Sus scrofa: one gene and its partner. The protein of the gene in region 1 purifies or fractionates together with the protein of each later gene. This does not show direct contact. Links are inferred from orthologs where the notes say so. Each region holds a gene or a part of one and is shown in the gene's direction. Other genes may lie near its edges.

Evidence for each region.
Region 2: the proteins of TESK1 (region 1) and RABEPK purify together in Homo sapiens (affinity purification with mass spectrometry; 3 studies listed by BioGRID and IntAct, with this or other methods). This does not show direct contact. The link is inferred for Sus scrofa from reciprocal best matches to the Homo sapiens genes TESK1 and RABEPK.

What each region holds. Positions count from the first base shown.
Region 1 is NC_010443.5:236,339,993-236,343,904, forward strand, and holds the start of TESK1 (dual specificity testis-specific protein kinase 1), read left to right. Parts: upstream 1-1,167; 5' UTR 1,168-1,467; coding exon 1,468-1,692; intron 1,693-1,800; exon of another isoform or gene 1,801-1,816; coding exon 1,817-1,938; intron 1,939-2,055; coding exon 2,056-2,104; intron 2,105-2,615; coding exon 2,616-2,762; intron 2,763-3,102; coding exon 3,103-3,185; intron 3,186-3,355; coding exon 3,356-3,446; intron 3,447-3,662; coding exon 3,663-3,746; intron 3,747-3,912. UniProt on the Homo sapiens protein: Dual specificity protein kinase activity catalyzing autophosphorylation and phosphorylation of exogenous substrates on both serine/threonine and tyrosine residues.
Region 2 is NC_010443.5:265,922,290-265,926,101, forward strand, and holds part of RABEPK (rab9 effector protein with kelch motifs), read left to right. Parts: intron 1-1,791; coding exon 1,792-1,941; intron 1,942-3,812. UniProt on the Homo sapiens protein: Rab9 effector required for endosome to trans-Golgi network (TGN) transport.

The sequences.
Region 1 (3,912 bases):
TATGGCATGCGCACAGGGTCCTGAGACGGTGCGTGCGCACTCAGGGTGCCGCGCCGCTTTAGAGGCCGGCTGCAGATCCTCCTCTCGCCTGAGGGGGCAGATCGGATTCCTACGTAATGCGGGGCGGTACCTGCCTAGGAGAGTCACACTGATGAGGGCTGGGCCACACCGAGGGGAGGAGTCACGTTGAGAGGAGGGGTCACAATGACGGGTGGAATCGCTCTGAGAGGTGGGGTTCGCCCTGGAAGGGCGAGACGGACAGAGGAGGGGTGTCGCACTGAGGGATTCTGGCACACACTGTTGGCGGCATGGTCACATTGCGGAGATGTTCCTCTGAAGGAGAGACTCTCACTGAGGAAAGAGTTGGTTCTCTGAGGGGGAGGGCTCCTTGAGGGGCGGGGTTTTGCCAAGGGGTGGGATATTTCCCTACAGGTGGAGACTTCTCTTTTGAGAAAGAAGGGCATGTGGACGAAATAGTAAGAGGAGGCTCCAGGCTGTGTGGTCAGTGCGCAGAAGCCCCTGAATCTAAACTTTTTTCGCGAGAGGCGGGATGGAGTGAGCAGGACTTGGGGCCACACCTGGAATGGGCTGGCCAAGGGCTCACTACAGCTCTGGGGCGTCACAACCTCCGGGGAAGGTACAAAGTGTCAGGGAGTCGGAGGTTTAAAGTGTAAGGGTCGAGAGCTGGGAAATGGGCAGGCTCGGCCAGGGCGGAGGCTGGGCAGGTGGGTAGGTTGCTGCCCCGATTGTGGCGGGACCAGAGGGGTCTACTTTTCTACCCTGCCTGTCCATGGAGTCCAGGAGTCCGGCGGCTTCCAGAGCCTGGCCCTCAAAAGACAGAGACCCGAGGGAGGGAGGGGAGAAAGGGCTCTCACGGCAGCTAAAAGACCTTTGAGCTGCGCATACGCACAATGAGCCATTAATTCCCTTCCGTTATTTAGCTTTGGCTTTAACTTCTTTGACCCCGACTTCTCAGACCCACTAGCCTAGGGCGTCCCGGCCACTGGTGGCGGGGTGCGCACCTGAGGGGGCGTGGCCGCTGCCCCGAGGCGGGCTCGAAGGAGTTAAGCAGAGGCCCGGCTCAGCCCCGCCCCCGGCAGGCCGCGGAGCCTGAGCCCCAGCGGCGAAGTGGAGCAGCCGCCGCCCGCCCGCCCGCCCGCCTCCGCCTGCGGGGAGTACCCCCGCCTGCCCGCCGGCGCCCGGGAGCGCCACCGCCACCGCCCGGCCCAGGCCCAGGCCCAGGCCCTGCGCAGAGCCGAGCGGAGCGGCGTCCACCCGGGCGCAGCAAGCCGGCGCGGCGGGGGCGGGCCCAGGAGCTTCGGCAGATCTTCCATTCTCCAGGGCGGGAGAGGGAGTGGGAGCTCCGGCGCCCCGGATCCGGCTGGGCCCGCACCCATGGCGAGCGCGGCCTGCCCGGGCCCCGGGAACCCTGCCATGTGAGGCAGGCCCGGGCTGGGGGGCCCGGCCATGGCCGGGGAACGGCCCCCACTGCGGGGCCCTGGGCCCGGGCCCGGGCCCGGAGAGGCGCCGGGGGAGGGGCCCCCGGGGCCGGGGGGCGCGGGCGGAGGCCCGGGCCGGGGCCGCCCCTCCTCCTACCGGGCTCTCCGCAGCGCGGTGTCCAGCTTGGCACGCGTGGACGATTTCCACTGCGCGGAGAAGATCGGGGCCGGCTTCTTCTCTGAGGTCTACAAGGTAGGACCAGCAGAGAGGGCAGAGGGGCGGGACCGAGCCTTAGACGCGAGGCTGGGACAAGGGGGCCCAGACCCTGGCGTTTCGCCCGACCTGCGCGGGACTCGCCAGCCCCTGCTGCCCCCAGGTTCGGCACCGACAGTCAGGGCAAGTCATGGTGCTGAAAATGAACAGACTCCCCAGTAACCGGGGAAACACGCTACGGGAGGTGCAGCTGATGAACCGACTTCGGCACCCCAACATCCTAAGGTGAGCGGCCCCAACCGCTTGCTGGGGGAGGGGGAAAGATCCCGCGGGAAAAGTGGGAACTGTCCAGGGGCCGGGACTCTTCCAGACTACCTTGCTGTCTTTCCCATCCTCTTCCAGGTTCATGGGGGTCTGTGTGCACCAGGGACAGCTGCATGCTCTTACAGAGGTGAGGATGAACCAGCAAGGGGGGACCCCACCACCAAGGGGCGAGTCAGCGGCCTGGTGCATCTACAGACGAATAATGAGGGGCAGCAGGACGTCCTCCCAGGGGAGGCTTTCCTGAACTTCCCTTTAGGCAAACCACAAATAAAAGGCCTCAGCTGGTCCCGTCCTTTATATCCTCTAGAACGGTGCTGTCCAATAGATCTTCCTGCAAAGATGAAAATGTTCTATATCTGCGCTGTCCAAAACCACAGCCACTAGCCACATGTGGCTAAGGATCCCTGGGAATGTGGCTAGTGTGACTGAGGAACTGAATGTTCCATTTTGTTTAAATTTAAATAGTTGTGCGTGTGTATGGGACAGGACAGGCTCAGGATATGAATGGAGGAGCCCTAGAGCAGACTCACCCTCCTGACTTTGTGATCCTCCTGGGTCCCCTGGCTTAAAAGTGGGAGACCTAGGCTACTGACTGAAATCTTGACATTCATTCCCCTTCTCCTACCCCTGTGACCCAGTATATGAATGGGGGGACTCTGGAACAGCTGCTCAGCTCCCCTGAACCCCTATCCTGGCCTGTCAGGCTCCGCCTGGCTTTGGACATCGCCCGGGGCCTGCGGTACCTGCATGCCAAAGGTGTATTCCATCGAGACCTCACCTCCAAGGTAGGCTGGCCAGGTGGGTGGGGGCATGAAAGGAGATTTGAGATTTATTAGATTGTAACTAGCCCATGAATATTAGAGTGTGGGTAATAGACATCAGGATGTTGGAGTAGCAAGACATTGGAAAGAGGGGAGGACTGGGATGAGGGGGAGTGCTCTGAGGGACTGAGTATCGTGCTGTTTCTGGAGTGATGGATGACGTTGAAAGATGGGGGAGCATTGGCAAACTGGAAGATTAGAGAGGGCTGGGATTATTCTGAAGTGACAGGTCTTTGGGGCGTATATTGGGAGATCAGAGAACCGAACGTGATGGGCATGTATGGATGCGATATGTGTATCTCAGAACTGTCTGATCCGACGCGAAGACCGAGGCTTCACAGCAGTCGTGGGTGACTTCGGGCTGGCCGAAAAGATTCCTGTGTATAGGTGAGGTGAATGCCCCACCCACTAAACCTCCCAGAAGGCTCCAATCTAAGTGAAGCCCACAGGGACATTTCCCTTGGGGTGGGGTGGGGGCTGACCTCATCCCCTTTCATTTGGGAAGGTGTCTGGGTGGGATGTTCCTGGCCACTCAGCCTCTGCCCCTGCCCTTACAGGGAAGGGGCAAGGAAGGAGCCTTTGGCTGTGGTGGGTTCTCCATACTGGATGGCTCCAGAGGTGTTGCGGGGTGAGCTGTATGATGAGAAGGTAAGATATAGGACTTCAGGAGACCCTTGAGATACTCTTATAAGGCCTCATCCCAAGTTCTGCAGCAATCCTACCGGATGTTTAGGAGATGCCCAAGATCCCCCTGACCCCTCACAGGCACCCTCTCCAACACATGAAAACTGGCAAGACTCCCCTGATTTCTGACTTGACATGAAACTATCTTTGCCTCCCCCTGACATTCTCTTCTACCCCTAGGCTGATGTTTTTGCCTTTGGGATTGTCCTCTGTGAGCTCATCGCAAGAGTACCTGCGGACCCTGACTACCTACCCCGTACTGAGGTGAATGATGTCTCCAAGTTTAAAAAAAGAAACTCTAGGAGTGGTGCTGTGGTGCAATTAAGGATCCGGTGCTGTCTCTGCAGTGGCTCTGGTCGCTGCAGAGGCTCGGGTTTGATCCCCAGCCTGGTGTAGTATGTTAAGGATCTGGTGTTGCTGCTGCTGTGGC
Region 2 (3,812 bases), about 30 Mb from region 1:
CTTTGAAGCCCGTAACATGGTCTGAAGACCAGATCTGACATTTACTTTCTTTTTTTTTTGCCATTTCTAGGGCTGCTCCCACGGCATATGGAGGTTCCCAGGCTAGGGATCTAATCAGAGCTGTAGCCGCCAGCCTACACCAGGGCCACAGCAACGTGGGATCTGAGCCGCGTCTGCAACCTACACCACAGCTCATTGCAACGCTGGATCCTTAACCCACTGAGCAAGGCCAGGGATCGAACCTGCAACTTCATAGTTCCTAGTCAGATTCATTCACCACCGAGCCACGACGGGAACTCCTGACATTTACTTTCTGTATTACATTTTTTTTTTGGCTGCCCTGTGGCATATGGAGTTCCCTCCCAGGCCAGGGATCAGATACAAGCCACAGCTGAGACCAGTGCTGCAGACCCATCACCCACTGAGCTGGACCAGGGATTGAATCTGTGTCTTAGTGTTCCAGAGACCCCGCCAATACCATTGTGTCACAGCAGGAACTCCTATGTATGTTTAAAAAGAGAGATAATTCTAAATGTAGTATTTGTATCCAGTACTTTTCACTTAAGCATTTCCCCTGTAATCACAAATCTTTCAATGTTTTTAATGCATATATTAAAGTTAATCCATTCACCTGTTGATGGACTTAGGCTACTTCCATTTCTACTCTTATAAACAATGCTAGGAGAAACATTATTTATGCTTAGAACTTTTCAGATTATTTCAAATTGTGTTCCTTTTTTTTTTTTTTTTTTTTTTTTTTGCATTTTAGGGCCATACCCACAGCATGTGAAGGTTCCCAGGCTTGGGATCTAATCGCAGCTGTAGCTGCTGGCCTACACCACAGCCACAAAAATGCTGTGGCTAACCGCTGAGCCACGATGGGAACTCCCTCAAATATATTCCTTGGAAAAATGGGGGCTCCTCAAACAACCTTTTGGCATGCCACAAATGTTAATTCAGCAATAAATTGTTGGCATGCCTTTGTCTCAGCTAATTTTTGTAGCACTCCTTTGAAACTTTCCTGATAAGTTGAAATGATTGATTTTCCTGAACTCTGTATATGTACGATTTTGAAGCTATGAAGGTTTGTCAACGGGTAGAACACATCTGCACTGTCAGAATCATAACCATGTTAGTACTAACTCTCGGGTATCGAGTACTTTCTTTGCGCCTGTGATTTCTGTACATTATCTCATTTAATCCACACTTCAACCCCAAGAGGTAGGTATTATCAGGGATCGTCTTTACCCCCATTTTGCAGCTGCAGAAACTGAAGCTTAAAGAATTAACTGGTGCAAGGCCACATAGTTATTCAGCGAAATAACCCGGTTTTAACTCCAAATCCCATGTTCTAACCCCTCTACAACCACTTCAGAAAGCCCTGCTAACTTTAAAAGTAGTCTTTTTTTTTTTCCCCACACCCTTCCAGCAAATCAATAAAGGATATTGTCTTGAAAAAGAGAAGACTGAAAGCCTGTCCCAGAAAAAGCAGACTCATTCTTTGTAACTCTGGGCCATTCTTAATTCAAAGCAAAGAGTGGTTCCTTAATGCCCAGTAGAAGGGGCAGGCATATTAAGTAGTAAATTCTCCAGCCCTGGAAGTGGATCAGCAGAGGCTGTAAAGGCTGTAGAGGGAGGAAGGTCTGGGTTGAGTTGGCAAGTTGCAATGAATGACCCCCAGATCACTCTGTGCCTGGCCTCTCTGCTCGCTGGGAGGTGTGGCTTGGCTATATTCCTCATGTTCTTGCTTCATAGCTTTGTCATCTGATGTCACTGAATTTATTTTTCTAGACACCCTGACCTGGTCACAACCAGAGACACTTGGAGAACCTCCATCCCCCCGGCATGGTCATGTGATGGTGGCAGCGGGGACAAAGCTCTTCATCCATGGAGGCTTGGCAGGGGACAAGTTCTATGATGATCTCCATTGCATTGATATCAGTAAGTAGGGCGGAGGGTGTGGGGGCTTGTCTGCTTAAAATTAAAATATGCTTTGATTGACTATAGCCTTGCTCTTAGGTGTGGGTGCACTTGACCAGCCAGCACAGTCTTCACTAGATTCTGTCAAATGTGGCCTGAATAATAATAATAATAATAGCGGAGTTCCCGTTGTGGTGCAGTGGAAATGAATCCGACTAGGAACCATGAGGTTGCGGGTTCGATCCCTGGCCTCGCTCAGTGGGTTAAGGATCTGGCATTGCCGTGAGCTGTGGTATAGGTCGAAGATGCAGCTTGGATCCCGAGCTGCTGTGGCTGTGGTGTAGGCCAGCAGCTGTAGCTCCAATTAGATCCCTAGCCTGGGAACCTCCATATGCCCTGCATGAGGTCCTTAAAAAGAAAAAGAAGAACAATAAAAACAAGTATGTCCTGAGCAATCCTGAACATTTGCCATGTACCTAACCATTAATTATTTCTTATCCTTCCAACAACCCCACTCTCTCATTAAAATTCATCATGCTTTGCGTCTCCCAAGAACATGAGAATTGTTTTTAAGTGTTTGAAGGGCTAATGTGCTGTGGAGAGCCTGGACTCTTTCTGGGTCATTCTTGCAAACTATGAGCTCCCTTAGGGCAGGCATTTTGTCGCTTTTCCCCAGCGTATTCCTAGCACTGAGCACAGTGTCTGGCAGGCAGCAGGTGACAAGTACCTATCTGTTAAGAGTGGACAGAAGGGAGTCCCCATCGTGGCTCAGTGGTTAACGAACCCGACTAGCAGCCATGAGGATGAAGGTTCAATCCCTGGCCTTTCTCAGTGGGTTAAGGAGTCGGTGTTGCCCTGGCTTTGGTGTAGGTTGCAGATGTGGCTGGGATCCTGCGTGTGCTGTGGCTGTGGTGTAGGCCTGCAGCTATAGCTCTGATTGGATTCCTTACCTGGGAACCTCCATATGCTGTGGGTATGGCCCTAAAAAAAAGATAAAAGCCCAAAATAATAATAATAATAACAAGTAGGTGAAAGAACAGACCACGAAGAAGCAAAGCAGGGCACAAAAAAGAGTGGACAGAGGAAGGAGGGAACGTATTCTGCGTGGCTCCAGATAAAAGCATTAGAACCGTGATCAGAAGGCATGAGAACTGCTACGGAGTGTATCAGGTTACCTCACCAAACAATGGGTTCTCTGCTTTGGTGACATCTGAGGCCAGACGACACAAGCTGGGATTCCTACATTGGCTAGGATATTTGGTTGGATGGGGTGATTCTCTCTTCCAACTGTGAGATGCAGGACCCCTACCTTGTACTGACAGATGAAAAATATCTTCACAAAGGCACTCCTTGCAGGCAGCCAAACGGGGTTTTAATGCTTATTTTATTTTATTTTGTCTTTTTGCCTTTTGTAGGGCCGCACCCACAGCATATGGAGATTCCCAGGCTAGGGGTCTACACCAGAGCCACAGCAACGTGGGATCCGAGCCACATCCGCAACCTACACCACAGTTCACGGCAACGCAGGATCCTTAACCCACTGAGCAAGGCCAGGGAATCGAACCTGCAACCTCATGGTTCCTAGTCGGATTCGTTAGCCACTGAGCCACAAGGGGAACTCCTTAAGGCTTATTTTTTTTTGCTATCTCTTTGGGCCGCTCCCACGGCATATGGAGGTTCCCAGGCTAGGGGTCCAATCGGAGTTGTAGCCACTGGCCTACGCCAGAGCCACAGCAACGCAGGATCCGTGCCACATCTGCAACCTACACCACAGCTCACGGCAACACCAGATCGTTAACCCACTGAGCAAGGGCAGGGACCGAATCCGCAACCTCATGGTTCCTAGTCGGATTCGTTAACCACTGCGCCACGACGGGAACTCCCTTAACGCT